Oryzias latipes: one gene and its partners. The protein of the gene in region 1 purifies or fractionates together with the protein of each later gene. This does not show direct contact. Links are inferred from orthologs where the notes say so. Each region holds a gene or a part of one and is shown in the gene's direction. Other genes may lie near its edges. The genes, in order: serine/arginine-rich splicing factor 3, mepce, ncbp3 and larp1.

Region 1 (8,290 bases):
CTTCAATGTCCCTTTAGGGGCTCCGTATAAACTACACCGAAGAATATTTTACATAAAATTGGACATAAATCCAGGCGTGAAGGGGTTAACATCTGACTGTTTTCATCTGGTATTAAGACTCTGGCCGTGCTTCTGTTGGAGCTTTGATGTGGACCAGAACACCAGACCCGTTGGGTTTCACAGCAACAAAGAACGACCAGAATTTCTGCTAGAACACAGTGGTGTTTGAGGAATCCCGGCCTTAAAAGGTGATTGCAGGTAGAGGGACCAACACATTTAAGTCATTCTTTCTGGTGGATCGAGTTTATCTGATCACTGATGAAACGGAATCATTTCTGTGCCAAAAATGGGCAATAAGAGAGGGATTCAATAACAGAGAAGGTTTACATTTCTTGTGAATTGAGTGAAATGTGAGTCCATGTCTTGACCCACAGAACCAAAGACCAGACAAAAAGTGATGTAGAACAAAAGTCTTCCTTAAAGCAAGAATGAGGATGTGAAACTGAAATGATCAACTTTATATTTGATAGACGCTTTATTATACCTTAAAAAAAAGACTTTGAATATGTCCGTTTTATTGGATTGACTGAAAATATAGATACGCAAATATAATCCTGAAGATTTGGAACTTTGTTTCTTTGCCTTTAGCTCTTCAGGTCCGGCGATTTCAAACCAAAACAAACCTTTGAACTCAGTAATGGTTGAATGTCCAGAGAGGTTTTCTGTTGCACATTCAGTCAAAACAGCTGACGTACAGTCATGGAGTGGACCCCCCCCACACACACACACACACACACACACACACACACACACACACACACACACGCCCATCCCTGTCAATATATTGTATTTTGCAAACACAGAATATAATGCAGAAATCTGAAGCTTCAGCAGAACTACACGCTTTTATTTCACCCAAGTAATGACAAACATTTCATCTGTAATAAACATGTTTCTGACTAATATAAAAAAGTTTTTTGTTTGCTTTTTACTAAGATGCATTAAAGCACAAAAACAACCACATAAAGCGTGCATACACAACATGTATAGATGCCAGCTGGGCAGAGAGTCAGTGGGAAGTCGCTGCAGGTTGGTTTTCAGGGGGACTTTGGTTCAGCGTCCTACCTTTTTGACCGGTTTGTGAGTGGGCACCGCGCTGAAGACTGACGAAGCCAGCTCTCCCATGTTCATCTCGCTGTTTTTGCTCACCGTCATGGCAGAGTACTTCTCCGCGGCGTTTTCACTCTCCTTCACCTCTTTGCTCGCCTGCTTGACCTCCACCTTCGCCTCCACGGCCGGCTCGGACATGTTCGCGGCTGCGTGACCTCACCTGGACACCGAAATAAACCTGTAAGTCAGGAAACGTCACAAGTTCACGCGCGACTCACTGCTGCTAGCCGCCCGCTCGAACGCAGCAACTGACGGCAGCCTGTTTAGATCATCATGCGCGGACAAAATGCAGCAAAAAGCAGCTGTCAGATGGGCATTTGGCTCGCCAGACCGTGGTTTGTGGCTGAGGAAAGCAGTTCTGTGCTCCGTTTTTCCGCTGAGGCTCCAGTCGTGTTGTTCCCCCGCTGTCGTAGCTGTCATTAGGCTGAGAAACTTTGTGGGCGGGAACCAGCTGTCTGCTTGGCGGCTACGTCACTGCTGCGTTCAAGGCCAGATGGAATCGAAAACTCCAACTAAAGAAAAAAAATCTCCAACTACGTATTTTATTTAGAATTACCAAGATGCTCAATTCAAGAAAGTAATTCATTTCATACCCAGATGCTGTAAGAAAAAATCATTTTGACAGTTTTTCAATTCTCTGAGATACTAATTCTTCATGTGAATTAATTTCAAAATTTGGCAATTTCTGAGCAGAGGCCCAGGGGAAAACCCAGGACACGCTGGAGAGACTAGTGCTGTGTCCGAATTCCCACCCTAATCTCTAACTACTAAAACCCTATATACTGCGGCACTCTATAGTTCCCATGATTTTAAAAGCAATTCGGACACCCGTGCTCACTACTTTTCTCTTTCGGGTGTTGTTCATATGGCGCTTGACAAGAAAACAGAATAGCGCATTACCGCCACCACCTGGTCTGGAGGCGAACTACTTCTACTTTAACACCGACTAGGACGAAACCAATTTTCCAAAGTAAAAACCCAATAAATATTAACATTTTATTCTAATGCCAAATTTTTACATATTTTTGTTGGATATCCAGTATCAGGCCATGATTAAGGGGTTTCAGCGTAGCAGCCCAGTTTACACAAATCAAACATAGTCACCTGAAGGATACATCCTTTTAGGTGATGGTGGGTGTCCCTGCATTGCTCATCCCATCACGCTGCAGACACCCTACAGGGAACCCCTGAGAAATGCGGTTGAGGCCCGTTACAACCAGCACCACTCCAAGGCACGCTCTGTGGTGGAGATGAAGACGAGGTGGAGAGCAGTATTTCTGGGGGCGTTGGAAGTAAAACCAACCTTCGCGGGAAAATCATTGCCTGCAGCACCATCCTGGACCATCTGTGCATCGGTGAAGGGGACTGGTTGGAGCCACAGATGTTGAGCCACAGCAGGACGACACCAGGAACCAGCAGAATACCACATTATTTATAGTCTTTAAAAGAACATTGGACAGATTTGGAGTCACGTTGGAAATGACATTAGTCATAAAACTGGAAAAACAATCACATTTTCAGAAAAACAAACCATTTTGGGCTGTTATGACAACATGAAGCAGAACTTTATTTTTATAACACAATTTATTTTGTTTTTGAGAAATTTCATATATATAAAAGGAAATGGTCAAACTCTAAACTTGATTTTGAACACTTTTTGAATGAAATAATTAAATATAGTGAAAGTATCAAACAAATAAAAAAGAAAAAAGAAATTTCAACAAATGTAATATTTCAAAAGGTAATTTTTTTAATAAACTCTGCAGCTCATTGTTATTTTTTTGTTTTGCTTTTGTGATGTTCCGTACATTGTGCATTCCTTTCTTTTTTTCTTTCCTTATTGTTGACATTCATGCTTTTGTTGTTGTTTATGACTAAAACTTCAAAAACTGTTTTTTTTCTTTTTTACTTCTTTAAGATCCATTTATAGACTAAAGTACTGAATTGCGACATTTTTTCATCTGCTCCTGGTTCACAACGATTTGAATGAAGAAATACTTAGAAATGCAGTTTTAGGCCTAATTTTCTTCATAAATGTCCTCCAACATGAGAAAAATGCCACAAGAACATTTAAAAACACTAACAACACAATTCTCATCGCTGTTGGTCTTTAACTGCCACCTGTTCTCAGCTGCATTTGATTAGTTTTATGCAAAAGTTTACATCCACATTACTTTACATTCAGCTCTATTAATCTTTTTTTACTTATTGATCACTCCTTTAATACCTTTTTATGTTTCCTTTAATGTTTTATGTAAAGCCCTTTGTATTGTCTTTTTTTTAAATGTTCTCTACAAATAAACTTGACTTGTGTATAACCACTATTTAAGTATAAAAGGAAATTTTTAAAAAAAATCAACAATTTGTAATTATTTGTATAAATGAAAACAGCTGCAAATATTTTTTCTCCATGTATCTTTTGGAGAATTTGATACAACCAACAAACCCGGAAATGAACAGTCAGCGTAAATTGGCTGCTGTGAAACAGGCCTCTGCTGTGGCTAAACCGGTTTAAAATGTGCTGAAGTGATCTTCTCGGCGTTGTCCCGGGGAACACCGAACTGGCTTTTGATGTCGACGCTCGCGAGCGCGCACAGAGAAGCCCCGCCCCTCGCGGTGCAGCATCCTGGTCACTTTTTACAGTCGAACGTATTCTCCGTCACGCCATTTTCCACCGTCGGCTGGAGGCAGTGCATCGGCGAGACGGGTGCACGTGAAAAAGAGTTCTTCTCAGCGGTGAATTCCTTCGGCTCCGGTACAGGTAGTGCAGACATTCACGGACCTTCAGCGCCGTAGACACGTGCTTTAGCGCTAAAGGAAGCAGCCGCGTGCGCCATTGTCTGATCACGTCGTGTGTTGAACCCGCCGCCGCCGCAGGAGGAGAAGGCCGCGGAGTATCGACAGCCATTTTAGCTGCTTTTATTCACCCGTTTTCTCCGTTAGTGAAGTCTGTGTGTTTAAAAAAAAAGTCAAACTACAAAACTGAAATAGAGTTGCTAAGTGTGAGCTTAAAGCTACCGGTTATGGCTAACTTTACACGATCGTGTGGCTAAAGTTAGCATTTTATGCTAACTTTGGTAGAAATGTGGATCAGTTTTCTAAATGATGATCGCGTGTAGTGGAAACTCGATGCGTATTTAGACCCAGCCCACCAAAGTAAGAACATTTGTAACTATATTTATCGAAATCTTCGTTTGTTTATTGTGGCTCATTGAAAAACAGGTATTTGGAGCATCATTATCATCGGTGGCAGAGCAGAGGCGGATCTCCGGCCGTACTGTTAGTTTGGTCTGTCCTGGTTCATCCACGAAACCGATCAGTCGACTACAGTAGAATTGCTTGATTTGAAACCAGAAATGTAATCTATCATCTTCTTATATTTTTAGCTGATCCTTGTGTTTATAACCCCGTGGTTTTGATTATTCCAGATTCCATCATGCACCGTGACTGTCCCCTGGACTGTAAGGTCTACGTTGGAAATTTGGGCAACAATGGGAACAAAACCGAGTTGGAGCGCGCCTTTGGCTACTACGGACCTCTTCGTAGCGTCTGGGTGGCCAGGAACCCCCCAGGTTTCGCCTTCGTAGAGTTTGAAGATCCCAGAGATGCAACGGATGCGGTGCGAGAACTGGATGGAAGGTACGTCCCTCCCTGTGTGATTTTTGTAGGTACGGCCCGCAAAATCCTCCCAAACGGGTTTGTCTGGCCACCAGCAATTCCACAGAAATCAGCGTTTGGTATGAAATGAATGACAGGCGTGAATGTTGTCGCAGGACACTGTGCGGCTGCCGGGTGCGCGTGGAGCTGTCTAACGGGGAGAAGCGCAGCCGCAGTCGCGGCGCTCCTCCATCGTGGAGCAGGCGGCCGCGGGAACGGGACGACTACAGGCGGCGTAGCAGCCCGCCACCCAGGAGAAGGTAACCCAGGGGTTCTTTGATGGAAGGGATTTCTTAGCTTTATATCCTCTTATGTGATTTACTTTACAGTACATTTCCTGAGAACTGCTTTTGGGTTTCCAGTCTGGGTTGTTGTGTTGTTAATTTATCTTTTCTTTCTTTCTTTTTTGGTGACTGTTGACCTGTCTGCGCTTACTTTGTGCAACAAGGAAAACACACAAAATATTCAAATATTTGTCAAAAGTACATTGTGTAGAATGGGACTTTGGCTTTTAACAGCCAGAGTCCTTTTGTGTGTGTTTCGTGTGCACACCCAAATCTTTGTTTAGGAGTTTGACAGTGACAAGAGGTCATAAATAAAGTTTTTAGTTTGGAAAAAGAAGTAAATTTGTATAAAGTTTGGGGCGGGCGGTGTGAGGGGTAAAACTGCCAAATGTCTTTATATTTTTTTTTTACTTTTCATCTATATTAATAAGAATGAAACCCATTGCAGAACCACCACCATGCCTCTTCTCACCACCCTCAGTCAACTAGTCCTCTTTCAGCATCACGCGACTGCTGACCGTCGTGTCCCAATCAGCTTGGCTGGTGCTGTCACATGACCCAGGCTTGGCCAGTCGTCAGGTTGCACCAGCCCATTGGTTCCTCAGCATGCCGTTCTCAACCTCCTGCTCCTTCAGCCTTAAACCAAAGGGCAGCCACCCACTTCACATTCCCGACCAATCAGCGTAAAATGTTCCCAAATGTCTACAACCCACCAGCAGCAGCCGTCAGCTTACCAATTAAAGCAGGAAAAAAGCCACAACCAGCCCCCATCTGCCTGCCATCTAATCACCTTGCAGCATCTGTCCACTCCTATTCCGCCAATTCTACCTACGCGGCCGGCAGTCTGCCTTCCTTTCGTCATATCTAGCTTGTTGAAATCCAAAAAAACTAGTAAGTTTCCCTGCTTCATTCAGTACACTGCTGATTTCAGTTTTGAAAGTGAAGAGACAGCTGGTTTGAAGAGACTTTTATTGTTTAAACTCTAGCTTTGTCATCCACCATGTGAGTCTTTGTTTCAATGGGAGTGATCAGATAGATGGAGCCTGCTGTCAGAGGAGCTTGATGGTGCTGATGTTAGGGGATCTGGGCACATCGTAGGTCACAGCAGTCACAACTCTGTTAGCTGGAAAAAGGCTAGCTTCAGGTAAACGGGTCAGTGGGGGGGTTGATTAGTCAAACACAGAGCAGTTTACAACATTTGTTTCTTTTTTTTTTAGCACAAGAAAAATTTGCAGCCTGTTTCAGTAATTTTTTAAGCTATCTTCACACCGAATGGGATTCACACGTCGAAGGCGTCCAGTTTTGTGCTGACACGATCTGAGGTTCGGCAGCGGCGCCTCGGGCGGTGCATCCAGACTTCAAATGTCTAAACGTTGGCGTTGAATTCGTTAACCACCCAGGGACTTGCCTCAGGCCTGTGATGACGTGATCTGAGGGCTGTGTCCAAAACCGAAATGGAGAATCTGATAGTTTTCCGTCTGAGCTGTGTCTTTATTTGTTCCCACACAATAATAAGTTCCTCTAATTTTATTTTCATTTTTCCCCCTCGGACGACAAGTCATTCAGACGAAGCTCCTGCGGTGGACGGCCGAGCTCGCCGTATCAAGTGAGGTTGAGTGATGTCATGAGACGTGATTACCGATGCTTTTGTGGAGCTTTTCCATGTAAATTTTGACGTCAACCGTGTCTTCTGTGCATTGGAAAAGAAATGTCAATGCTTCCCAGTAGCCGTCGGGCTAAAGAATTTGGACAGTAGCTCCTCCCCCATACGTGGCGGAGGCGTCAAATTTATCAACACAATTCTGGACGGGCATCCAGCTGCGAATTTGAGGCGTGAATCGCGTTTGGTGTGAATGCAGGGTTGGGCTTCATCTTAGGACACACTAACCCCTATTCATTTTTTCTGACTAGAGTAGTCATGTGACCTGAGTAGTGTGGTGGGCTAGGTTAGCAGAGATTCCTGATCTTCTGCTTTCTCTGAGGGCTTGGCTTTATGGTCAGTGACTCTATTTTCTTTGGGGATTTTTTTTTTCCCTCCTGGAAATAAAGGCTTTCATCTCTGGTTTTTGTTGGCGACAACAAAGGGCTGTTTGAGGTAGTCTATGGTAGAAGTCATATGATGTGGAGCTTCGTTGAAGAACCAAATGTCTTTGTGCTCACCAGCTGTCTTTTCCTTGTGCAGATCTCCCCGTAGGCGAAGCTTCAGCCGCAGCCGGAGCAGGTATGTCTGCATTCTCTCGATTCTTTTATCTCACTCATGAATTTCTCTATCTCTGACATCAGTGATTCTACAATAATTTCAGGCGAACTCGTGTGCACTTTGCTCTTGATTGTGTCACAGAAAAGCAAACCGTCATGATGGTTTCTCCTTTTTCAGGTCTTTCTCCAAAGACAGGAGGAGAGAAAGATCCCTCTCCAGGGACAGGAACCACAAACCCTCTCGGTCCTTCTCTCGATCCAGGAGGTACTGCTGCCATCCTCGATTGATCTCAGCCTGAAGTGTTGAGGATAAACATGCTTTGATTTAACTCATTGGTGGTTCTTCCTGTTCACAGCCGCTCCAGGTCAAACGACAGGAAATAGAAGAAACCGCCGGTTTTAAGGGAGCTGTTTGGACCGGCTCCAGCTTTTCGTTCAATGGACTTCAGCTTTGACATTTAGTCTTTTTGTTTTTCTTTTTTTTTTATAGCAATCGAGTATTTTAGATTATGTTTCTTTTTACAGATGGGGTTGTTTTGAGTGCATTGAGCGTCTCAACGGTGCTTGTTTGTTCTGACCCATCCCTGCCGTCTTTGTTCTCCTGTCCATGAATGTACGACGCCCTCCCTCCCACATTCTTCTTTGTTTCCACTGTACGAACGCCAACTTCTGTTTTTGATTGACACGCACCTCCAGAGATGTGAAGTGCTCCGCTCACAACGCCGATCTATTTTCAATGTAGTCCTTTCATTCACATGTTTAGCGGTGGTCTTGTTGCCCCTCAGTTCAGCAAGGAAAAACTGTGGAACCGATTTAAAGAAACTGAAACGGAAGTCTGATTTTTGCTTTTCAAGTTTTACATTGTTATTCTTTTGTTTAATACTGTGTAAACTGGTCTCAATTAAAAACTGATTTAAAAAATGACCTGTTTTTGTGATCACTCTCTTTTTTTCCCCACAACAGGGCTCCCATACGGCTGA
Region 2 (8,432 bases), on another chromosome or scaffold:
AGACTTCAAGAAGATTACTAAATGTGTTTTCTTTGTTAGGAATGAAGTAGTTACTTTAATATCTAACTGCACTTGCAGAATACTTAGTTTGACAGTTTCAATGTTTTTGTCGCCTTCATTCTCCTTTGCAGCATTTTTTTAGGTGTTTATTCAAATGTATGTTTATAATATCAATATTAGAAAAGCATCCCACACTGTTCACATTTGTCTACCTAAACTCATAGGAATCATTCGTAAGTTCAAATCAGGCAGGTCATTTAAAAGGCAATCACTCCCGCTTTTGATCCCACGTGAAAGATGACACAATCACCACTTTGCTGACCAGCAGCCAACGGTCACTCACAGTGGCACAGAGTGTGAACTCACAGAGTAGACATGGGGGTTGTTCTGATGTGACCGCACACGGGACACGCGAGCCGGCCCCTCCCTCTGTCACACGCAGGATAATGACCAGCCGGCTCGTGCTCTTCACAGAGGGCCTCAAGAACCATATGTGTTCACCACTTTCTGCTTGGACACACACAAACAATTGAATATGTCCAGAGCGCTTGAGGCGCAGACCCTGAGGAAGGGCAGATGGTGTCCGGGATTGAAGACCGCACCCACATTACCATGAGAAAAGAGGGTGACAGAAAAGGAGGGGGACAGGTACCCTCTCGTTTTAGTTTTCTTCCATAGAGACTACAAAGGAGGGGTGACTCATTAAACCGGAGAGTCTGTTGCACTGATTTGAAAAGCAATTAGGAGCATGCTCCACACTCAGACTACCAGAGATAATAAAACACCCGTTGAAACATTTTTTTCCCTTTTTCCAAATGTTACTTTGTTATTTATTTTTATTATATTGTCTTCCAAAAAGTTTTATATTAGCATAATGTTAAGGGTTAGGGGAAAAATATATCAAACTTTCTGCATTATTAATATTACATGTATAAGTCACTGATAGTCGTTATTATTGTATTATTGTTTTAAGAATTGATGCAATGATTTGAATTTCTGTTTTTGTGGAGTTTTGTGGGGTTTTGTGATAGCCATCAGAACCAGGCCTACAGTACAGAGAGATAACACTGATGTTACAGCTGCATTCAAGCATTTATTGAATATTACTGGAGGATTTTACTCTGGATAAGAATTTACTTATGAACTTGAAATGTTCGATTGACCACATGCACATAAGCAGTTTTCCCTCTGGAGGGCATGCAAACATTGTGCTGGTGCCTGTCACAATTACAGTAACTCAACATATACATCCAAAGTTAAGTGATATTTTATTTTACAAATCAAAATCGAGTCTGTTTACTTACAACGATGAAAGGGAAAACTAATATAGCCTTAAAAAACGCGTAAAAATTAAATTCTGAAAGAACATCCAGTGTTAAACGCAGGATAAAACTGTTTAGAAAAATGGTAAAAAAAAAAGATTTGATCGCCCCCTTGTGGCCATTCAGAAAACAGATGTAAAAGGTCACTGAAGCAACATCAAGGTGTCCATGATGGCAGTCATATCTCACACTAACACCCAAATAGACTTAAATACCAGAAATACTTCATAATTGTGTTGGAAATATGAAGTATGTAGAAGAAAACAACCCTAAAGCTTATGTGTACAACTGTAGTTGTACACTTTCATTTGACCTACAACAATAAAAATACATAACATGTAGAGTACAAAAAAACATGCTACTGCAAGAAAGAATAGTTTATTGTAGTCATTGATTTTTTTTCTTTCATTTACCTGTTACTGTACCTTCCATATATTTTGCCAATTTGTTTTTAAAAAAATAACTATTTTGATTTTACCCTCAACGTAATAAAGGCTGTAAGACAGAAAATCACATGGCTTGATCTATAAACAGTTGAGAGTGATGATTTTCAATCAAAATACAGGGAGAGCTTTGTGTAGCAAATGCAAAAAAAAGGGTTTGGAAGAAAAAAAAACAAGTTATTCAAAGCAAATATTTAATGTTTTCATTTGCTACTTAGAAAGTTGTGCTTGTGTTAGCATGAATATCACTTCATGCGTGGTAAAATGAAAAATTAATTGTGGTCATTTAATTTAGAAATAGCTGTTACATCAGCTAAATGTCAAATTTGAGACACTTTTTAAAAATGTGTTAAAATGTCTTTTGGCTTCAAACTAAGCATTTCAGGCTGCTAACTGTAATGAATTTGCTTGAAAGTGTTGAAATTTGCTGCCGTAAAAGAAAGCTGTTATAAATCAAGAAATAGCCCTTTACAAAAAGAAAACAAATGTAATATAAAATGATGAGAAAGTTCATAACTCCTAAATTCACTTTATTTTCCCAAGTTAGATAGTTACAAATATTACAGGAAACTATTGTACTTTCACAGCTTTGTATCAGACAGCATCTCACAACTGTTTGGCCAATTTCTTATAAGCAGCGATCATGCATTAATGTAAAAGGTTACATCAATCTGAAATTCTGCTAAGAATCTTCCTTTCAAGAAAATCCAAAGTAAAGTTGTGAGCAGGTTACTGAGGAGGCCACTTGTGGATCTGTTCCATGACTTAGAATTAAGCAAAGGTTATTCATTTGACTGCTGCTGCAAAAGATTAAACAAATCTAAACACACACTGTTGAGGTGTTTGACAGTCAGTATTATTTTATACTCTCGTTCAATTACAGATCTGAAATTAAATCTATTACTATTAGAAATTTTGCTTTTTCCAAACTTTTAAGCACTTTATCACATTATTTCACTTAAAGGACGGACAGACAGACAGACAGAAGATAATTAATGGTATTGCTATAATTTTTTTCTCTTGACAATAAGATTTATTTTATGCTTTAAAAAGTGCTACTAATATACTGAAGATGAGAGATTACTGTTAAAATGATGGATGAAGGATGAGGTGGTGGGAGGGTGGTCAGGGCCGCAGAATTGCTCAATGTGGACCTACTTTGTGTTGTTGGGCATCTGTGCCTTTATAGTCCCGTTTTTAGACCAAAACAATGGCCAAGTTTGTTCATTAAAATGTGTTTGCTGACTGTCATTAAAAGTTCCACTCGCTCGCGGCCTCTTCTGGGATTAGGGGTCTGAATCTAATGGCAAAGAGTTCCCACTACCTTGCGCGAGCTCACAGATCTCCGCCCCGGTCACGTTAAGCTTACAACTCGAAGCCCGGATGCGCCGCCATGCCGACTCTCGTCAGCGAATGCTGTCATTTATTCACCAAACTGTCCGCCTGGAGTTGACCGAACAAGTCGACAAGGCAGTGGGGGAAACAAGAGAGACCTAGTGGGGTACAGGCCGTGCTTTGCGTGTAAACCGTGAGCGCCGTTGGGCTCGGAGACACTGGGGTGCTAGCTAGGCTAACGTTAGCTTGAGTGGAAGCAGAGCGGGGTGGAGACGGCCCGGCCGGAGGCGGGGAGAGCACCACCGCGGGGTGACACTGGGATCCTGACGGTGACCACACTGTTCGGCGGCCATCTGGGACATAGTATCACTTTCCCGTACCGGACTTGGGATTTGTTTGTTTATTTTTGTTCTGGATTCACCCGTCAGCGCATGAAGGTGGGTACTTGGTCGTTTATTTATCACCACTGTTGCTCCAGAGCTAAACGTTTAGGCGACGTTTTCAGAGCTCTGGCCCACGATGGAGGAGCTAAGGGCTAGCATGCTAACCCAAACTACTGTTCCAGACTCTGACTCAGAAACTTCTCAGGTCAGCAACCTCCGAGTGGACACGCTTCAGATGTCAGCCTGTCAGGAGGGCAATGCTAACGAAAAATCTGCCGCGGACCGTAGGACCTTTAAAATTAATATAATAAAATGCAACACTCAGCTAAAAACAAAGTAATTTATTTACTATTAAGAAAATTATATGTTTTATATATTCAATATGCCCGGATTCTCCTTTATGATTTTATTTGCTGTTCGTTTTGTCCATCTTATTACTTTCCTGACTTAATTATGGAGGCCAGAATCTGCACACTGACTCCCCAGATGACTTTTAATGCATGCAACCATAAAGAACAGATTGAAGTTTCCTTAAAACAATGTCGATGAATCTCAAATCAATTCTTTTTTTTTTTATCAATCATAGATAATGCAGTTTGCATGATTTTAAAATAAGGCTAAAACCGAAAACACTGAAAATCCAAATATTTTGTTTGGATTTTTTTGCAAATGACATCATCATGACAATATCCTACAGTTTTATAAAACCACTTTCTGAGAACTTCAAACTTTAGTTTTGGTAACATCCAAATCTATTTTTTTAATGTAAAGCTGATAATGAATTATGAAGTTGCAGAAATGTTTATCCAGGAAGTTGTAGATATACAAATATAGGATTGTCATCTTTTTTTTTTTTTTTTTTAAAAGTTAACTCTTCAATTGAAAACAACAACAAAAGCATTAACCTTTCTTTTAGGCTCTAAACAGTAGGAATAGTGGAAGAACAAACATGTTTCTTCTACACAGGCACAAAAACAATAGCAACAACAATAGCAACGTCACATCTTAAAGGTGTATTTTTGGTTTTGGAGAATATGATGACCTTCTGTCCCTTCTCTGTTAGTTTAAGTTTGAATGTAGTTTTGTTAGGAAGTGCATGAGGAATATTTGTGCCTTCTAATCAGGTGGCACAAATGCTATAAACCTTATGTATCTCTGATAAGGTAGAGCAGCAGAGACGGGTGGAACCTCCCTCTATATGCTACCATGAACCAAGCAGGAACAGTGTGGTTAAAAAAGAAAGATGTTTTGTCTGTACTAGCATTTTTGACCAAAGCATGTTGCAGATGACATCCCAAATTATGATTTTACTTATTTAAAGTCTATTTTAAAAAGTGTTCTCAGTGGTCTTTTAATTAAAATTTTGTCGTTTTTAGTCCAAAAAAAAACAACCTATATCATTATCTAGGATGAATAAATTTGTTGCTTGTCGTTGTAGGTTTCACATCACAGCTTCAAGCTTTTTCCAATGGCATTTTTCATCTGCCCCTGATTTGGAACAACTGGAATAAAGGAACACTCAGAAACAAAATTTTTAGCTATATTGTCTTTATACTTGTCCTCCATTGTTAGAAAAACGCCACAAAAACTTTCATCAGATTAGGTATTTAAAGTTTTTGTTGGCAAAAACATCAATTATCATTGTCTTTTTTTTTTGCATTCTTTGTAATGCAATTAAACAAAAATCTACCTATCGGTTGTTTTGGCACTTTTTTGGAACTTAATTTAATGTTTACGGTGTTTTATTCAAGGGATTATAAGAGATCAGATGGTCCTTTAACAGCTGTATTCTTCCTTGTTTTCAGACAAAGGACAAACAAGTTTCAATGAACAGTTCTGGAAACTAACAGAGATGTCTGTCGAGGAGGACGCCATAAAAACTGGCAGTTTAGAGGCCAGGTCAACGCCATCTCTGCAGCTCTCAGACTGTACTGGAGGTTACAGCAGTGTGTCCGTGATGATGGAGGAAAATGCAGCCACGCATGACTTTGCAGCTGCCTGTCCTGTCCCGGGCACTGCAGCCTCACCAAAGCACACGAGCACAGACAGCGCGGGACAAAAAGCCAGAGGGAGCGAGAACAGCATCAATCGCAGGAACAGCTTCCCTCACTCCAAACAACAGCAACAGCAAACGAAATTAACCAAGCGGCGCTACACAGCCAGTTCTAACTTCAAACATCCCACATCGAGCAAGAGGAGACGAAGAGCCATCTCCGAGAGTGACTCTGTCCTGCCCACCAACTTTCTCTTGGGTGGCAACATTTTTGACCCGCTTAATCTGAACAGCCTCCTGGATGAGGAGGTCAACAGGGCACTTAACGCAGAGACACCAAAATCCTCTCCACTTCCTGCAAAGAGTCGAGATCCAGTGGAGATCCTCATTCCGAGAGATATAACTGATCCTCTGAACCTGAACAGCGGGATAGCAGACAACTGCTTTTTGGTGTCCCCCTACAAGAGCGGAGGAAGAAGAAGGCATCGCAACAGACATCATGGTGGGGGTGGTGGAGGAGGCGGAGTTGGTAGTGGGATTCCAATAACGCAGGCGAACCACTCCGAATCGACAAAAAGTGAGGTCAAAATGAGCTCCTCCACACAACTTTTAGGTACGCAAGGCTCTTGTTCGGTTCTCGATTCTTCTAAAGAGTCCATGAGTTTCTCTAGTGTCACGGCAGATTCCCACGAGAGCACAGCTGAGAACGCAGCAAGCGGCAAAGATGAGACGCTGTTTGTACCTGTCGAAGAATATACCTGCCCCCTGTCGGGGGGGCCAAGCCACCACGCCGGAAGACGCAGACGAAGGCGCAACTCAGGCAAAATTGATCCTCCTGTCACCCATTCTACTCCCAGCGGTAAATTAGCACCAAATGACAAAAGTTGTGGTACAGGCGGAGCACAAAATTATTTTCACACACCAAAAATTGGTCCCAAAACTGGAGGGGGGTCACGTTCGTACCAGCAACCTCACAGTCAGGCAAAAGGACACCAAAAGAAGTTCCAGTATGGAAACTACAATAAATATTATGGTTATCGCAACCCGGGCAACAGTGAAGACCCGCGTGTTCGTGTATTGCGTCCGGAGTGGTTTGAAGGTAAAGATGTGCTGGACTTGGGGTGCAATTCAGGTCACTTAACACTCTACATTGCCAAAATGCTGCGGCCTGCACGCATATTGGGGCTCGATATAGATGGTGGGTTGATCCATGCAGCTCGTAAAAACATTAGGCATTATCTGTCTGAGCTGCAAACCCAGGAGGCCAGACAAGCTGCTAAACAGGAAGAAAGAAATGACAAGGATGTCAGCACGGGGACAGACGAGAAGCACAGGGACACCGAGCGCAGAGAGGAGCACTGCAAAGCAGAGAGAGGACAAAGAGGCACTGCGGAGGCTGAGAGTGACAATGGCTTCTGTCACACAGATGATGTAGGGACTCCAAGGCAAGATGACAAAACAGGAGAGACAGGACAAGGAGACTGTGAAAAGCAAAGCGCTGATCAGTCAGTGAGCTGCTCCTTTCCCGTGTCTCTACGGATCTCCAGAGGACCCATCGCTGCACCTCCTTTGACCGAAACACCCACCCCTCAGCCCGGGCAATTTCCTGCCAATGTCTCCTTTATCAAGGTACGTTGATGTTGGGCAATTCCATTTTAATCTTCGTAGTTTTCACGTGTTTCTAATGTCTTAGCTATGTCAAAAAATCACAGAAATGTATTATTCTGCTTCCAGACTTCAAAAGAGAATTTGCACATTCTTCTTGTCTACATGTCAGTGTATATAATGAGGATCTTTGTTTGTATGAATGTCCTCCATTGTCTTCATAGCTGTTGGAATCTTGGCTTTTTTTTTTTTTGTTCGTGTTAATCAACTAACAGGAGCATGCTAAGTCAATTAGCAAGTCAGCACATATGTGGCTAATCTAATCTAGTTGTTATGGAAACATTAGTAGTAAAAAATAACGACTCATCTATTTGTACGGACAGTATTTTAGTTTCCTTAGAAGACAGCAGAAGTCAATACTTAATGAATATTTAACAGCATAAAATGCTGCTTCCACCAAAGTGCTGAGACCAGAGACTGGAGAGTCGGGCCTTCTTGTTCTCACCTGAGATCATTGTGAGGCTGCAGAGTGCCACAGTCTCTGCCATCTTGGATGCAGTGTTTAAGCTGCTGCTCACATCAGTCTTTTAACTCCTTTTACTACAAGTCAGATGCTCATGCAAGTACTTGAACTGCTGTTTTGTGGTAATCCGAGAGAGCATTTTGCTCCACCGTTTAAAGAAAAAGAGCATGCAGAAATAACACAGACACTGCAGTAAAGGCATGCACCATTATAACTAGACAACTCAGTCCCTCCTGCAGTCAGTCTGAAGTTACGTTCACACCACCCTCGCCGAGGCGCGTTCAAGCTTCCAATGAAGAGTCTATGTCAGGGGTGTCAAACTCATTTTCACTGAGGGCCACATCAGCATGGCGGCTGTCCTCAAAGCACCAGATATAACTTATACATGTAACTAAATGTAATGAAAAATAAATGTAACTACTCCTTAATGTTAAATAACTCATTATTTATTTATTTATTTAAACTTTTTAAATTGACAATAACAGTTTCATAGAAAACATATGTTTGTTTGTTATTCTGGCATAAATCCTTTTAAATTTGATTCTGACAGGTTAGGTTATATGAACAGTGTTTAAGTCCTAATGTATAGTTGGTCAATCAGATATTTTAAGTCCAATTCCCCCTAGATATGAATAAATACACACCAATTTGTATTTTTTATTCTAAGAAATTAAAAACTTTTATGCTCTCGCGGGCCACATAAAATGATATGGCGGGCCACATTTGGCCCCCGGACCTTGAGTTTGACACATGTGGTCTTTGTAAACACGCGTAAACGCTTGTTTCAGGCTTCCGGGTTCAAAACTCTTGCAGTCTCACATAACTGCA
Region 3 (7,742 bases), on another chromosome or scaffold:
CGATGTATAGAGCTTAGCTGACTTGTGACTATGTTCTTTATGCAATGGTCATCTGAAAAATTGTTCATCTGTTGCGCTAATGTAAAAAATAAGTGCACAATAGCTACCAGCACAATGCCAAAGAGAAAAGGCAGATTTAAACAGATGAGTCGATGTTACGGAGGGCAGGAGGGAGAGAATTCCTGAGTTTGGGAAAAGAGTGGCTGAAGGTTTGGCTCAAACTGTTTTACGGTAGTGAAGTGTGTATGGTATATATTCAGTCTATTGTTGTTTATTCCTTTATTAGAATTTGCCTTTCAAGATGAAATGTCCGTTCTAGTTCCTATATTTCTTTGAATACATTTCTCCCAAAAGTGTGACTTGTATAGTGGGATAAAAAAGAATTTAGTCAGATGCTAATTGTGACACTTAAAGATATGAGAGAGGTCTTTAATTTTGCATCATAATTTTACCTCAACTATGAAAGATGAAATGTAAAAAACAAATCTTGAAAATCACATTGTCTGATTTTTAAAGAATTGTTTTGTGAATTATGGTGGAAAATAAGTATTTGGTCGATAGCGTAAAAAAGTTCAACTCAATACTACATTTTACCTTTGTTTGCAATGACGGCAGCCAAATGCTTTCTGTAAGTATTTTGGTCCATTCCTCCATGCAGATCTCCTCTAGAGCAGTGATGTCTTGGTGCTGTCGCTGGGCTAAACAGACTTTCAACTCCCTCCAAAGATTTTCTGTGGGGTTGAGATCTGGAGACTGGCTAGGCCACTCCAGGACCTTGAATTGGTTCTTACGAAGTCACTCCTTCGTTACCCGGGCAACGTGTGTTTGGGATGGTTGTCATGCTGAAAGACTCAGCCACGTATCAGGACGTTGACTGACAGTCTCTATTCTCCAAAGTTTCTGTTTGGTGATAAAGAAACAGTGAAAAGTGACATTTCTGAATGGAAATCAACACTTTTCAAACAATGTGTGAAATGACAAAACAAATGTGTGCACCAGACCCTGCTGTTTAGTAAAATGACACACCAAAAAGAACTTTAAGGAAGGCCGTGGCTCCCAACTGATTTGATTCTTGCAGATTGTTGACTTGCAGAGCAAATACATGGAAAATGCCAGAAAGAAAGGGAATATTCGCACGGAATTTTCCAAACACGTGCTGAACGTTTTTCTTGGCTGCACGAACACAAAGGAAGGGTTACGTTTAGGGTTACGGTTGAGCTGCGTTCACACCGAACGCGACTCGCTCGGCAGACAGAGACCCGCTGTGGGATGGGGAGCCAACTGGCTTGGGCCTCCAGAACTTTATCATATTTCTCTTATTTTCAGCGAGGCAAAAATAAAAAAGGTCCCCTGATTTTTCTTCTTGTTTTTATTTTTACCCTCTCTGGTTAATGCGGGACAGCAAGCCTTCAAACTCGGTCCTAGAGAGATTAAACCAACAACAAAATCCAGCCTTGGACACACTTGAAATGCGTGCGGCGGGCAAAGCAGCAAAGTGCCTTCTTCCCTCGTCTCTCACTTGACCTTGTGCGCCCTGGACGGAGCTTGTGACATCACAGCAGCTCATTAATTCAAACCGATCGTCTTTGTTACAGTTTGATTGACAGCAGTTTAAAAGGAGAAATACTCTGAAATGCATAAATGAAATGATTACATTTGTCATAAGAAAAATGCCACAAGGACATGTCAAACACACAAAAAAAACATGATTTTCATTGAAGGGGACTTTGAGTATCGTTTCCTGCTGACGGTGGAGCTTCATGACGTCCAAACTCTGATTTTTGTCCATTCAGGAAGAGGAGGTACCACAACCGACGCATCCAAAGAGACGTCATCAAAAGCAAGAAGCCTCTGATTGGAGACAACATGGGACACACGCCGCCGTACACGCACCGGCACTCCGGTGAGAACGCCGGGGATCCGGCCCAACTCCATGAGGCTGCATTCACTGACGCATAGTCTTTAGAGTTTCCAGTTTTCAGGTTTTAATCTAAAATTCATTCAGTTTTCAGTCAATCTGAAAGGGCTTTCCTTCAACAAAGAAGCAGAATTTTCTCATAACTGAATTAACCTTTTAACACAGGAAATGTCACCGGTGAATCCTAAATAACGCATGCTCCATCATATCCCATAACTCTTTGATCGTCTACACAATGAACCTAATTCCAGGAAGCTTCAGAATCTCCTGTTTCACCTTTATGGTGTTAAAGGTCAAAGGGTTATGGTAGTTGAAATAAAGTTGGTATAAAGGCTCAAACCAAATAAAGGCGGGGCTAAAAATCTGTACTCTCTCTCCTCTCAGCTGACCTGGTCAACCTGCCTGAGGAGCCCATCAAAGAGGAGGAGGAGGAGGAAGAGGAGGAGGACGCCAGTGACGAGGACATGGACTCTGATGACAGGGTGGTGGAGTTTAAGGACAAAGGAGGCAGCTCACGTTCTGGAGGGGCGGGGCTTCGCAGCAGTGCGGAGCGATCTCCGTCTCCGTGGTCAGAGTCGGATGAGATGGACTACGACCTGGAGCTGAAGATGATCTCCACGCCGTCGCCAAAGAAAAGCAAAAAAATGACCATGTACGCCGACGAGGTGGAGAGCCACCTAAAGAGCATCCGGTGAGCCCCGCCCACCGTCATCTGTAGTCATGTGACACAGTTGGACGGGCTTTTATTGTGTAAAGCAAGTCTTCAGATGGTAAACTTTTGTCTTTAAACTCCATAAATCTTTTTTGAGGGTCAGGAAGTGAGACATGGATCATTATTGGTTTTCAGAAACTAACATTTAAGAAATTTTAATTCATTGGAATCTTAATCGAATAAATGTTAATGTTTTCATCATTGTGGTTCAGCTTGTAGGGTACTTCCTACAGAGTTTCTAAATTATATTGTTGGGGGAGTGTTCAGAAACTGCCGACTCGTCTGCATCAAGCCCGGGTCAGGATGGGTTCAGAAAAGCTTTTATTTTGACGTTTTCCTCTGTCAGGAACCGCATCGGGACATCGGGGACCCAGAGCAGAGCCAAATCCTCATCCCCCTCCAAGTTAACGGACGTCCGGCAGCTGCTGCTGGAGAAGCGGCAGGGGCTGTCCCATCACAGACAGCCCCCCCCTGTGGCCAGCGGCGGGAAGACCGGTGAGGGGCAGCCGCCGCTTCTGCCGGGGTGTGGACTCCGTCCCCTCTGACTCTACGTCTCTCCCGCAGATGTCCGGCAGCGGCTCGGGAAAAGGCGATACTCTCCGGACAGACGCCGCACCCCTTCCCCTGCCTCCCCCAGAGACACGCCCCCAAGCAAAGAGCCAGTCAGAGATGTGCACAGCAGACTTGGCGTGGCCGGTCAAGACAGAGGCGTCTTCTCCAGCTCCAAAGACAGAAAGACGGGTACAGTGTTACCGAGTTACCGTCTAAAAATAACCGAAAATCCTTGAAGTGGAATGTCAGATGATCAAAGCAGTAAATCTCCTCACTACACACTTTTCTCAGACAGACTTAAACATTCTCACACTTTGTTTCTCTCTTTTTTAAACTCTCAAAGTTCAAACCTTCATAGAAATGAAGTATTATAGAATGAAAACAAAGATTTCTGTAACGCATTCTGTACAGGAGACATGGCACTGATGAGATTGATTGACAGTGGTCTGCAGCCAATCAGATGACAAAAAACAGTACGCTGTAAAAAAAATGTAAAAAGACGGCAAAATTGCACTGAAAATATCAGAGAGACGGCAAAAGGTGTACCGCCATGTTGGGAGGGAACACAACAGCAGTCCCGATCTGACTTGCCGAACTCTCCAATCCAGAACGGAGGTTCTCACGTTCTTAATGCCGTTTCCTCCTCAGGCGACCTCTGGAGCAGACTCGGCAACATTGAGCGGCGAGGGAGCGACCACTCGGCTCCGTCCTCCTCCTCTTCAGGTCGGAAAGAAGGCAGCGGGAGAGCAGGCAAGAAAGCAGAGGGTGAGGAGAAGGAGGAGGAGGAGGACGACTCGATGCTGCAGAAGATGTGGGGCGCCATGATCAAACAGAAGCAGGAGCGCCTCGGCCACAAGGGAAAGAAGAGCCGCCTGGACAGCCTGCCGTCGCTGCAGATCGAGATCAGCCGTGACAGCAGCGACGACTCTGACGCCTGAGGACGACTAGGAACTCGGCCAGACTCTCCTGAACTTCAGAGCTCCAGCCGGGCCCAGGCGGCGGACCGGACCTGCTGGTTCTGTCATCGCGTCTGGATTCTCTCTCCTTGAAAATGTTTTTCAGTTTCCTGAACTTCTCAAAGGTGTTGTCTGATGGAGCAAAGCATGACGGGAAACTCTAACCCTGCACCTGCTCTACATCATCGCCATGCATTCCTGTTACCACGGAGACAGACTCCGCCTCCAGCTCTCTTCCTGAAGCAGAGGATCCTCCTGTGTCGGAAGAAAAGTGTGAACTGGATCTCCTGGTGCTGAGTTGGTTGTTTTTTTCTGAAATGTTGTGGGTCCACAGACTCCAAGCTTCATGAATCCTCATTAAAAAGATGGCTGATGTTTTTTATTCCTGATGTTTCTTCTCTGCACGGAAAACCTGCCAGGTTTCAGCCCAGATGGCAACTCCACCTTACGCTCTCAGGCCGCGCTCCGCTTTGATTCTCTTACAGTGCAGAAGTTTCTTTAGATCATTGAAATACTTGCTACTAAATAGACCAGTGAAGTGTACAGTATTTCTATGAAAAGTACTCACAAGAACACCTGATTCAGGCCTGGATGGTCAGACTCACTCTGTCGATGAAAGAAAAACCACACCGGCACTCGGAGAACTTCAGACTGACTGAAGTAATAGCTGCCACAAACAGCGAGTAGGGAGACATCTGCTGGCTGAGCACCAGGAAAAGCCTAAATGCTGCCTATTGTCTCTATGAAGCCCACCTTTGTGTTGTAAATGTTATTTTTTAAGAGGTTTATTGAAGTCATTCAAAGCTTCTGGTATGTTTGATTTTATTTTACTGTAACACATCAAAGTAGCTGCATTTTATTCCTCAGCACTGATGTAAACTTCAGCTCCCCAAGTCTGTTCTCCTCAAACGACACACCAAGATGACAGGCAGAAGCTCAACTCAAAAGTTGGAGTAATTGCCGCCGTGCGTGCAAATCGGTCCTTCAAAACTTCATGCTTGGAAAACCAAAAACAGCCTTGTGTGAAAGAAAAGGCTCCACAGGTGGTTCTTTTAGCTGCATCACGTCTGTGAGGCAAACACTCAGAGAATATGAGTCAGAAGGAAGCAAAAAAAAAGCCCAGCTGTGAATGATAATGAACACAAGACTTCAGCCATGCGGGTTGAGTCGGTCACTGAGGGTCTGCTGAGTTAACAGAGAACGGGAAGGGAAGAAGAAGCTGACAGCAGTAGCAGCAGCTTGAGGTGAAACCAACCACCTTCACACAGTAAATGATGGTCTCTGTGACCATTTCCTGTATGTTGGGCTCATGTCTGTCGGCTCTGGACTTTGATGATAACTTGAGCCCAACGGTCCCGACAGAGCTTGACTTGTGGTTGCACACAGTGGCGTGAAGTCGTAGCAAGGCCCCGCACATGGGTGACTCCAACCACCACCTTTTGGCCCCCGGCCGCTGCTCTGCCTCTGACGGGAAAAAAAATAGATCTAAGAAGGAAGCTTTGCATGTTTTTGTGCTTCTGACTGAGACTTGAGCAGATGTGATCCACTGAAACATCATATGGTGCCCAGCCACCTATCAAACAATCTGGTTCAAGGCCTCCGCCAAGCAAAGGTCGAAGGTGTCCAACATCTTGGCTGATGGGATGGTGCAGACAAACGATGCAACGGTGTTAGCTTCATGGAAAGGAATATTAGATGGTGGTGCTCCCAAGCTTCAGACCTCTATCTGTGTTCCATCAGATATTTTAGAACAGTCTTTGACATGCAACGATGACACGTATTTGTCGTTGGTGGAGGACTAGTAAATAACATGTATTAACTTGGATATCCTGCCCAGACAGACTAGACTGCAGCACATGTCTGTCTGAGGACCGTGTGTTGGTGCAGAGGGCCCCAGAGGTCCTGAGCTTTTGACCTGGGCTCCGACTTAAAGGCTGATCCTAAACCAGTTAGTTAGTTAGTTAGTGGAAGTCAAAAGTCTTGTGCCACATATAACTATTAACAAAATGGTTTGATGAAATGATGAACTTGTTCACCAACTGGTGATCCAACCAAAGATGCTCTCACCACATTGGCAGGATTTTTTGAATGAGGTGAGTTTGCTTAGAACTCCACACACGGCACACGAGTGTTCAGCCCCACGAGAGGCCCATGCTGCAGCTGGTGCAGGTCCCATCGCTCCGTTCAAAGTGTCAGATTCTCAGTGCTGGATTGCTCTCTCTGTCTTTGCTGCGTCTATAGCAGCAAAGCTGGAGGCGGTATTTCCTGCAGACAGGCTTCATGCTGCTGAAAAGCTGAAACCGTAACCCCTTAAAGAGGCTCAAAACCATCCTCTGCAGCCCCTTTCTTTTCATAAGAGTTTTAGCCCACTGCCCTGCTGTTGCCACTGTGGTACTTCTCTTGTAAAAGTGTTCCCAGTTGTCTTTTATTTCTGATTTTACCACTTTAATCCATAGTCACAGACCTGGGTTTTTTTCTAGGACATACAGTAGTTTCTGCAGAGCAGCAGGAGTTCATTAGAAATACACCTCTGAGTTGTGGGCGGGACAGTTGGCGGGGAGCACTGATCTGTTTACATGCTCTCCCCCTAGCTTACAGGTCATCGCAACCCCAACCTAGCCTTACCGGTGCAACAAAAATGGCGCTTGATATTGGAGTTATTTAGCCGTACAGTTTAGATCCAGATTCCAGCTCGGATGAGGAAAACAAAGACTGTCACGGATCTATTTGTCTGACAGTGGATGCATCAGAATGGAGCAGAGCAGGGAGCTTGTGGCCCGCTGAGTATATTTTTACATCACAGATAAGCTTCTTTTCAAAAGTCATTTATTTGTCTCTTCCTGATTCACAACAATTCGAATAAAAAAATACTCAGAAATACAATTTTAATCTTAATTTTCTTTATATGTGTCCCCCATCGTAAGAATAAAGCCCACAAGAACAAACCATAACTTTCAGTTCAATAGAGGTAAATCCAAACAATTATTTCCCACTTCAAAATTGACATTGTGTGGAATTACCTCTGTTTTGGGATCACTCTTCTTTCCATGTGATTACTCTGCATTTAAGTAAAAAAAGAAGATAACATAATGTTATCGATGCCTAGATTTAAACACACAAAGCCTGACTTCTGTGCTTGGACAATTTTAAGGGTTGGTTGGCTGCTAACTTTTAAAGTTTGCAATTATTAAACACTGAAGTTGCTGCTTGGGTCATTTGGAAAAGGACTGCGCATCTCAACTGTTTACTGCCACCAGCCTTGGTGCTGTCAGGGACGGTGATTTAGTTGGATAGTTAGATAAACGGGTCAATGCCATGGGCAAAACCAGGCTTTATTGTCTCTGGCTAGCATCCTCTGCAGCAGGAATAAAACGCTTCATAAATGTGAAACAGGCTTTGATCTCCTTCATGTTTGGACTACTATGTTCTGGATTCTAGTCAATGCTAAAATGCTTACCCCATGTGCTATCCTATGGGGTCCAGATGACCCGATCCTTACATTGATGTGTTATCCCTACCATGACAAAGGTGGATAAAGGTGTATTTCATGTAATCCATGGACACCAGTGAAGATCACAAATCATTGAAGAAAACAGGTTTAGCC
Region 4 (7,742 bases), on another chromosome or scaffold:
CGATTCGGGAGAGGAGAAGAACGCAGACGCGTCTCAGAAAAACGGCCCAAAGAAGAAAGGTTCGGCTTTCAATCGATCTTAACCGTCATGGGAAACTTTCTGTTCACCTTCCAGGCTACATTTGTAGCTTCACCTACAGCTGTGTGTTTGAGTGGAGAAGGTCTCTAGGGGTGGAAACACCTTAGGTGTTTAGGGTTCAGTTAAATAACTGATTTATCCAATTGGAAAGTGCTAGATCACTTCATTAAATCTATTTCTTTCTTTCAAAGTTTTTCTTTTATTGTTTATGTTTTCAGATACAACTATTTATCTTTAAGTTTTAATGTAAGAATTTATCATTTTATTAGTCAGTGTTCCACCTTCAGTTGAAGTCACTAGCTGTATAACAATACGGTTTTGTAACCAGTTTATTAACAAAAACTAAAATTTGAATGATTAATCAGCAAGTTTCATTTAATCTTGACCTGAATCTAAGCTTGTCCTGTTTTTTTGGTAAGAGTCTAGGGATGTGATGTGTATCGCGATACATCCATAGACTGTACCGGAACAGTTTCTAAATATTTTTTTAAAAAAAAGTATGACTACCTGAATATTAACAGGCCTGTCATTGTCATAACGTGGTCAAATTCATTTTATGTAATGATCAAAACATTAAGCACTGCAACTGTTTCTCCTTTACGAGTTTCTTTTACCAAAGCCAATTCACAGTGCTTTTATTTTGGTAAATTAAGAAGATATATTTCTCCTTAAAGGCAACATTCAACACTGTCCGATTGACACGACAAAATATTTTTCAGTGTAAGAAAAAGTGCCTTAACCGATACGGTTCTGTAGGTAGTACATGTCTCATGACAACAAAGGCTGACTGAATGTTTAACACAAGCTGGTTCTGGTTGAGATCTAGTTGCTGTGGTGCGGCGTAGAGCTGCTCAGAGAGACTCGGTGTCGGGTGACAAGTCAGACACTGAAGGAAGCCTCATAAATTAAAATAAACAGTTTCTTAACACCATTTTAAATCCGATATAAGTATCGCCAAATGAAATATCGCGATATATCGCCAAATCGATTTTTCCTACACCCCTAGTAAAAACCAATTGCTAATGGTAAACACACAAAACAGTCAGAAATGCAAACACTTCGGTTCCTCCTCATGAGTCTCATCTCTTGATGCTGAACCTACGCAGAAAAGTTTAATTCGAAACATTCAAAATGTAAAGTTCATAGACTCTTGCTGGTTGTGTCTTGATTCCTTCACTACTTTATAGTGCGTTCACCATTTTGTTCAAACTTACAATTCCAATAAACAATACCCTAGAAATTTCCCAGAAGTCTCTGCAAAAAGCCATTGATCATCAATACTCACCAAATTGGTGAATATAGACCACAATGCATTGCGTTTGAACAATTTTTGTGAAGAAAAAAAAAGTATCATTTAGTTTTCATCATCAGAACATGATAGTTTTAGTAAAGTGTTCACATTTTTTAGGTTTTTGCTTCAGGAAATCGGTGACGTCAAAGTTTGCTTTAAAAAAAAAAAAAAAAAAAAGAAGTGAAGAAGGTGTCAAAATGGCTGGTTAAAATCCAGGGCACTAGATGGTCCCACACTACAGTTTGGAGTAGATGGGACTTCATGTGAGTGTTGTGGTGCTTGCTGTATGAAATGGCAGGGATTGTCCTGATGGGACAGTCTGAGAGAAGCTCCAGCTCAACTGAGACACTAAAAGCTTTAATGGTTGGAAAAATGAACTGTGAAGGATTCATGGATTCAGCAGAGGGAATCGGTTCTCCATTCTGTTGTCGGCGCTCAGACCCGTTTCTGAGGAAGACGGCGCAGCGGCTCAGACTTTTCCTCAGTTGGAGACAAACGTTCTGAAAGTTTTGACATATTTGGTGTTCGTGTTATTAGAGAAAAAACATGGACTTTGCGTCCTTGGAAGTTCAATGTCATTATTGCTCGAAATATTTACATGAACTCCATAAGAGGAGCGTGAACTCAGGTTCACGCTCCTCTTCCTCAAACAGATGAGCTGGTAGAAGGTGGTGATTGATCCCTGATTGCGGATCTGAATGAGCAGACTGGCTTTTCATCTCCAACAGAATACTATGGTGGCCCAGAAGTGCGAAAAACATTTCAAAGATCAGAACGGCAAAACAAATTTTTAAAAAACAACAATACATTTAAAAAGACAAAGCTAAGTTCCAGACACCAAAACGTGAAAAAAAAAAGCAAAAGTAATTTCCAGAAATCCAAATGAAATGTTAAAAATGAAACAGCATAAGAAACTGGAGAGGGTAGAGACGATGGGACATCACTGATTGGATGGTGACGTTTGTCCATCATTTAAATTGAAAGTTAAATGGCATTAACTGATACTGGTATCATCATCCAATCAGCCATGTCTCATACAGTGATGAAAGTCTTCCGGGAATTCCCGGAAATCCGGGTTTTTGAGCAAACCGAACGTACTTTCCGGGAAATAAAGACCTGATCTCTACGGACAAATCGCTTTCCGGATCAAAAAATGGTCTGAAATCAGCTAATTTTAGCTTTATTTTCTATATTTCTCCGCAGATCGCTTCCTCTATGGTCGTGGCCATCTCTCATCTTCCCGGCCTAATTGACCAATGACGGGACGTTTTAGTTGCTTTTGGATGCGTCGACGGGTCTGATTGGCTCTGTCTGCACCACGTGGTCAGCGTGACTTGCTTCCCTAGAGACCAAAACTGGCGGACCCACGCTAAATTTTCACAAACACACCTGAAGAGTTTGCGATCAAATTTGTGTTAAAATAATGGCAGGCATCGTCATTATTGAGCGTGGTCACGACCTCAGTTGTGAGAAGACGATAAAAAACAAATTGAAGTGGTCTTGGCTGGAAAAAAAAGATTTTTAAGTTAGTGTAGGTCAAATACTTTTTTGTGTAAAATAATCTCAAAACCACATTTTGAAATAATTTCAATTTTAGTTTTGAGTTTCAGTTTTTATTTTGAATACATTTCTCTATCTAATTTATTTGTATTTCCTAATAAAAATGATTTAGTTCAGTATAGTTGACATTAATTATAAGTATTTGATGGTTTGGACCCACACTCCCTTAAAAAATAATGTTTACAATGTTTAGTTTAGTTTTTATGTTTGTTTTGATATTTCCCAGATTACTTAGTATTGGTGTTAAAGAATTGATGTATTATGTTATAGAATTATAGTTTAAAGCAGATCCCATATTTTGATGTAGTTATACTTTGAGAAAACAGTGCAAGTGGATGTTGTACATCAGTCATTTCTAAAGCAGAAATAATGTATAAATAACTGAGGTATTTTCATAGAATATAATAGTTACTGGTGTTCTTTTTGCCATTTGGGGCTTTGATGTTACTATATTTTAGCAATTGTATGTTTTGCAGCTTTAAGGAAAAGCGTAGATTGTAGGATTGTGTTACTTTGAGCAATTTTCCAAATTCTTTTTTGGGACCAGCAAGTCCTTAATGGAGAGTCAAACTAGGGGTTTGAATGACAAATCATGATGCTCCAATTAGTCTTAGTTTCTTGATAAAGAAGTGAATAACTAGCCGCCAGAATGCACCAGAATGCATCTAAGACCACGTATTTTTCCAAAATTTCGCTCTGTGCCCGCCATATCGCTCAAAGAAAAGTTCAGGGATTTTTTCCTTGCCTGACTTTCATCACTGCTCATAGTACCTACCTTTCCAGGTTCTCATTGTGTTTTTTGTTTTTCCACATTTCTTTTTGGTTTTCCGAAATGTTTCTTCAGTTATTTTATACGATTTTGTTTTCTAAAAAGGTAAAGCTATGTTTTTTAAATGTGTCTGGCTTTTTAAACTGTCTCTGTGTTCTTTAAACATGTTTCTGCATTGAGTGGTTTGTAGATGCCACCGCAGAATAGCAACATGAAGCGGCCTTGTTTTTATTTGCATTTGCACTTTTCTGATTTTCACTTTCTGCTCAGGAACCTGAGTCGGCCTCCTTTTCATTCAGGGCAATCAAACGGCTCTGACTGTTTGAATGCTTGCCACATAAACTCATTATGCTTGGAATGACTCATCATTCAGAGGCACGTGCTCTGTCACTGACTTCAGAAAGCTGGTTCAGGACGCCACCTGCTGGCCGGTCATGGACCTGCAGAACATTTTTGTTTTCAATCGGGATAAATTCATTTATTTAGGTAGCGATTCCATTCATGACTCAAGACGATTCCCAGATCAAACTACAATTCTTACTTTACAATATGTTTTGTTTGAATGGTTGCTATGTGCATGTCTTTTTAAAACTCAAATATTAAATCACCGTCATTTTTACCTTTTTTTTGACCAGAAGATCAGAATCAACAAAAAACAACAGGAAAAATAAATGGTATTTATCACTTTAAGGAGTGTAACACTCTTTTTTTGGTTAACTTAAACATTAAACAAAAAATCTTTTTCAAACAAATCCTAAAAATGTTCCAGGTATCCTCAAAGTTTTACTGACTAACTAGAAAACACCTTTCACCTCATTTTTTTCTAACAGTCATGTTTTATGAACCTTAGCTGACGCCTGACTGCAGTTTCATGATTCCACATCACTCATTGATCATGAAATCTGTGTAGTTTGCTTTTTTTCTCACATTCATTCAATTTTCATTCTATTTTTTATTGAAATTGTCGACTGTATTTAAAAATCCTTTTTTCAGAACTTGTCTCACTTTTTAATTTCTAATAACACTTGATAGTCTTACTTTGAAAATAAGGACCTTCACCCATGCTTTACTTTGAATTATTTACTTCCTGTGACAGTAGCACATACTTTTAGCTTAGTTAACATACTAAAAATCCAATATTATTCTGCAATTTTAGAGCAATAATTACATTACCTAAAGTGTATTTTTACTTTATCAACTTTGCTAATCAGCGATCTGGGACGTCACAAATATTCATTTCCACATTTTCTAGAACATTTCCAATATTCAAGTATTCGGATGCTAAATAAGAGTTTTAAGACGTTTCTGCCTAAACCGCAGCTAAAGCTAATTTCTGAGGTTTATTCAATTAAATGGACTGTATTTATTCATAAACATTTCATATTTGTAATTCTTAAATATATCTTAGTGAGTATACTGTATTGTTTGGCTGTTTCATCATATTTAAATGACATTGTGTCAAACGCACAGAAACCTGAACCGTGTTTTACATAGAAAGCATTAAACATTTTACTGAGCTCTTTGTTATAAAAGATTAGTCTAAACGTTTGACAAAAAATTCCATTTTCAAAAGGTAATATTATACTAACTAAATATTGGAATACTTGTAAAATTCACCTCAGGTATTTTTAAATTGATTTGAATCTCCAGGAAAAGGTTTTGCTGTGTTTTTGGATGATTTCTTTTTCATGTGTTCTTTGTGAAATGTTGTTTTGTTGAGCGTCGCCTCTCATCTCTGTCAAACAGCAAACAAGCAGAAGTGGGTTCCTCTGATGATCGAGGTGAAGTCCGAGGGTCCCAGAGAACGCTCCGCCTCCAGGAACAACAGCAGGCAGAACGAGAACCCCCGCCTACCTCCCAACGCTCGCAACGACCTCAGAGGTCAGCCCCGCCCGCCCTACGCGTCGCCCTCTGTGCTTTTGTGCGTCCACATGGAAGTGTGAAGGAGGAAGTGTGTGGTTGTGGGTGTGTTGAAGCGGCCGCCGGCTTTGTCCGCTTGTTTAAACTATCAGTCAGTAAAATGCTGGATGGATTGTTTCAAGCTTTTAATTTGAAGGGTTCGCTGTGGCCGATGCTTTCACTGAAGGACGGTTGCTCTCTTTTACGCAGACTGGCACAGTCAGAAGCACGAACGGGAGTGGCACGACGACCACGATGAGGTGTCCAGCGTGAAGAGCGAGGGGGCGCCGTTCCGGGGTGGGTTCAGAGGTCGTGGACGCGGACGGGGAAGAGGCCGGGGCCGAGGAAGAGGAGGAGGCAGAGGTAATCCTTTTCCTCATCCTCTCTGCTGATCAGACTCAAACATGACGCTGCGGCGCCAGCCTCTCCTCTCCAACAGCTGACACAAGCGACGTGACTAACACTTACATGTGTTTACGGGGCTTTGCCCTGCTCTTTGACTCGCAGGTTCTGCAGTCAGTCTGACCTGTAAAGCCAAAGTCAGTCAGTCAGTGAGCGAGGCGTCCACGTCTGTTCAAATGCTTTCAATGTTTTAAATGGCAACATGCCCTGAAGGGGTTAAACCCCAAACATGATTAGTTCAGATGGAGATGCTCCTGATGCTCCTTTGGGAAAGTTGGTGGTGGTTGGATGGATGCACCAAGCGGCTCCTGGAGCTTCCTGACCTGGAGGCTTGATGCAGAAATGATGAGCTTCCATGTCTCTTCTCTGATTGAACATCTTGTGGAGAAAAACCCGCACAGCTCTGATCTGCGGCTCACCGCTCTGACATTTAGTCTGGACCTAAAGTCAGGCTTAAAGCTTCTGGTAAAACAGCCATTCTCTGTAGTTTATTTATAGTTCTGTGACATCTGGAAGCCCAGAAGAGAAACAGAAAGTATGACTGGCTGCTAAAAATGACTCATGGTTGTTTTTCGTCCAGAACAGCTGAGCAGGAAAAACCTTCATTCCAAAGCTGCTTCTTTTCACGTTCTTTAAAAAAAAAAAAAGAAACTTTTTTGTTCTCCTCACTTTTTTGCGCTTCTTCCTTAAGCGGCCTGTTTCCACAGGAGCGTCTCACTTTTGTCCAGACTCTGTGGTTCTTTGTTTGGATTATTTTTTGTTGACATGGAAGTGAAAGCCGGCTGAACAGGTGACGACAAAAATACTCAGCAGCAACGATTTTCCCTTTTAGACGTGTTTATTTCTGATTTTCAATAGAAAAACGCTTCGTATTTTAGCTTCAGGCTGATCAACTTTGTTGCCAAACTGTCAGATTTGACTGTTAAGTTAGAACCTTTTTCTCTTTATGGCCTTTAAAGTTCTAAAACTACAGCTGAACAGTTTTTACACCCAGATTTTTAAAACAAAAACATTTTGTTTTTATTCTGTTCAGTTTCAATTGTTTATTTGCTACTAAATACATTTAATTTCCATTAGGATATTTCCTATAAATGTGGTTTTTTTCTGCTTTTTAATGTTTTATTGCTTGTTTTTGTTGTTGATAAACCAGAGGATCAATTCTTTTTTTTTTTTTTTTTTCAAAATTGTTTTTATTGGATTTTAGAGCAGCAATATTAAACACGTGATAACAATGATTACACTTTTTTTTCCTCCCCCCATTGAAACCTAGAACAAAAGGAAAAAAAAAAAAAACTCCAAACAGAAAGGCGATACACATCCCATCACTACGCCTAATATACACCAAAAACATATAATAATAGTAATGAATCATTAAAATTAAGAAAATAAAATGGCAGCACAACATATTTGATATATCAAAAGAAACTCTAGGATCAATTCTTTAAAACGAAATATTTTATGTTCACATAAAAAACGTCAGAATTCAGCTTTTAAAAGACAAAAATTGTCCCTATCTAAATGTTTATTGTATATTTTATTTTTGTGTCATAAAAAAGAGTTAAAACCCTAAACCTGATGCCCTTTTTACATTTATAATCTGGATTCGAGAACATCTGATGTGCAGAGAAACTAACATTTTTTCCTGTTAACGTGGTTCTCCGTTCTGGAAGGTCACTACGACTACCACTGCACCTACAAGTCCTACGACGGGAAGGACGGCTCCTACAGCCAGAAGTTTGGCAA

What was found.
Region 2: the proteins of serine/arginine-rich splicing factor 3 (region 1) and mepce purify together in Homo sapiens (affinity purification with mass spectrometry; 3 studies listed by BioGRID and IntAct, with this or other methods). This does not show direct contact. The link is inferred for Oryzias latipes from reciprocal best matches to the Homo sapiens genes SRSF3 and MEPCE.
Region 3: the proteins of serine/arginine-rich splicing factor 3 (region 1) and ncbp3 purify together in Homo sapiens (co-immunoprecipitation; 3 studies listed by BioGRID and IntAct, with this or other methods). This does not show direct contact. The link is inferred for Oryzias latipes from reciprocal best matches to the Homo sapiens genes SRSF3 and NCBP3.
Region 4: the proteins of serine/arginine-rich splicing factor 3 (region 1) and larp1 purify together in Homo sapiens (co-immunoprecipitation; 3 studies listed by BioGRID and IntAct, with this or other methods). This does not show direct contact. The link is inferred for Oryzias latipes from reciprocal best matches to the Homo sapiens genes SRSF3 and LARP1.

Annotation. Positions count from the first base shown.
Region 1 is NC_019863.2:2,320,811-2,329,100, reverse strand, and holds serine/arginine-rich splicing factor 3, read left to right. Parts: upstream 1-3,721; 5' UTR 3,722-3,741; coding exon 3,742-3,931; intron 3,932-4,598; coding exon 4,599-4,809; intron 4,810-4,943; coding exon 4,944-5,087; intron 5,088-5,559; exon of another isoform or gene 5,560-7,293; coding exon 7,294-7,332; intron 7,333-7,488; coding exon 7,489-7,575; intron 7,576-7,666; coding exon 7,667-7,694; 3' UTR 7,695-8,234; downstream 8,235-8,290. Other genes in the region: S-adenosylhomocysteine hydrolase-like protein 1, read right to left, coding at 1,126-1,308. UniProt on the Homo sapiens protein: Splicing factor, which binds the consensus motif 5'-C[ACU][AU]C[ACU][AC]C-3' within pre-mRNA and promotes specific exons inclusion during alternative splicing.
Region 2 is NC_019872.2:14,590,227-14,598,658, reverse strand, and holds the start of mepce (7SK snRNA methylphosphate capping enzyme), read left to right. Parts: upstream 1-3,062; 5' UTR 3,063-3,537; intron 3,538-5,288; 5' UTR 5,289-5,335; coding exon 5,336-7,105; intron 7,106-8,432. UniProt on the Homo sapiens protein: S-adenosyl-L-methionine-dependent methyltransferase that adds a methylphosphate cap at the 5'-end of 7SK snRNA (7SK RNA), leading to stabilize it.
Region 3 is NC_019872.2:24,113,452-24,121,193, forward strand, and holds the end of ncbp3 (nuclear cap-binding protein subunit 3), read left to right. Parts: intron 1-1,793; coding exon 1,794-1,903; intron 1,904-2,302; coding exon 2,303-2,609; intron 2,610-2,976; coding exon 2,977-3,125; intron 3,126-3,194; coding exon 3,195-3,371; intron 3,372-3,830; coding exon 3,831-4,120; 3' UTR 4,121-4,520; downstream 4,521-7,742. UniProt on the Homo sapiens protein: Associates with NCBP1/CBP80 to form an alternative cap-binding complex (CBC) which plays a key role in mRNA export. NCBP3 serves as adapter protein linking the capped RNAs (m7GpppG-capped RNA) to NCBP1/CBP80.
Region 4 is NC_019872.2:3,463,517-3,471,258, forward strand, and holds part of larp1 (la-related protein 1), read left to right. Parts: coding exon 1-59; intron 60-5,444; coding exon 5,445-5,579; intron 5,580-5,807; coding exon 5,808-5,960; intron 5,961-7,669; coding exon 7,670-7,742. UniProt on the Homo sapiens protein: RNA-binding protein that regulates the translation of specific target mRNA species downstream of the mTORC1 complex, in function of growth signals and nutrient availability.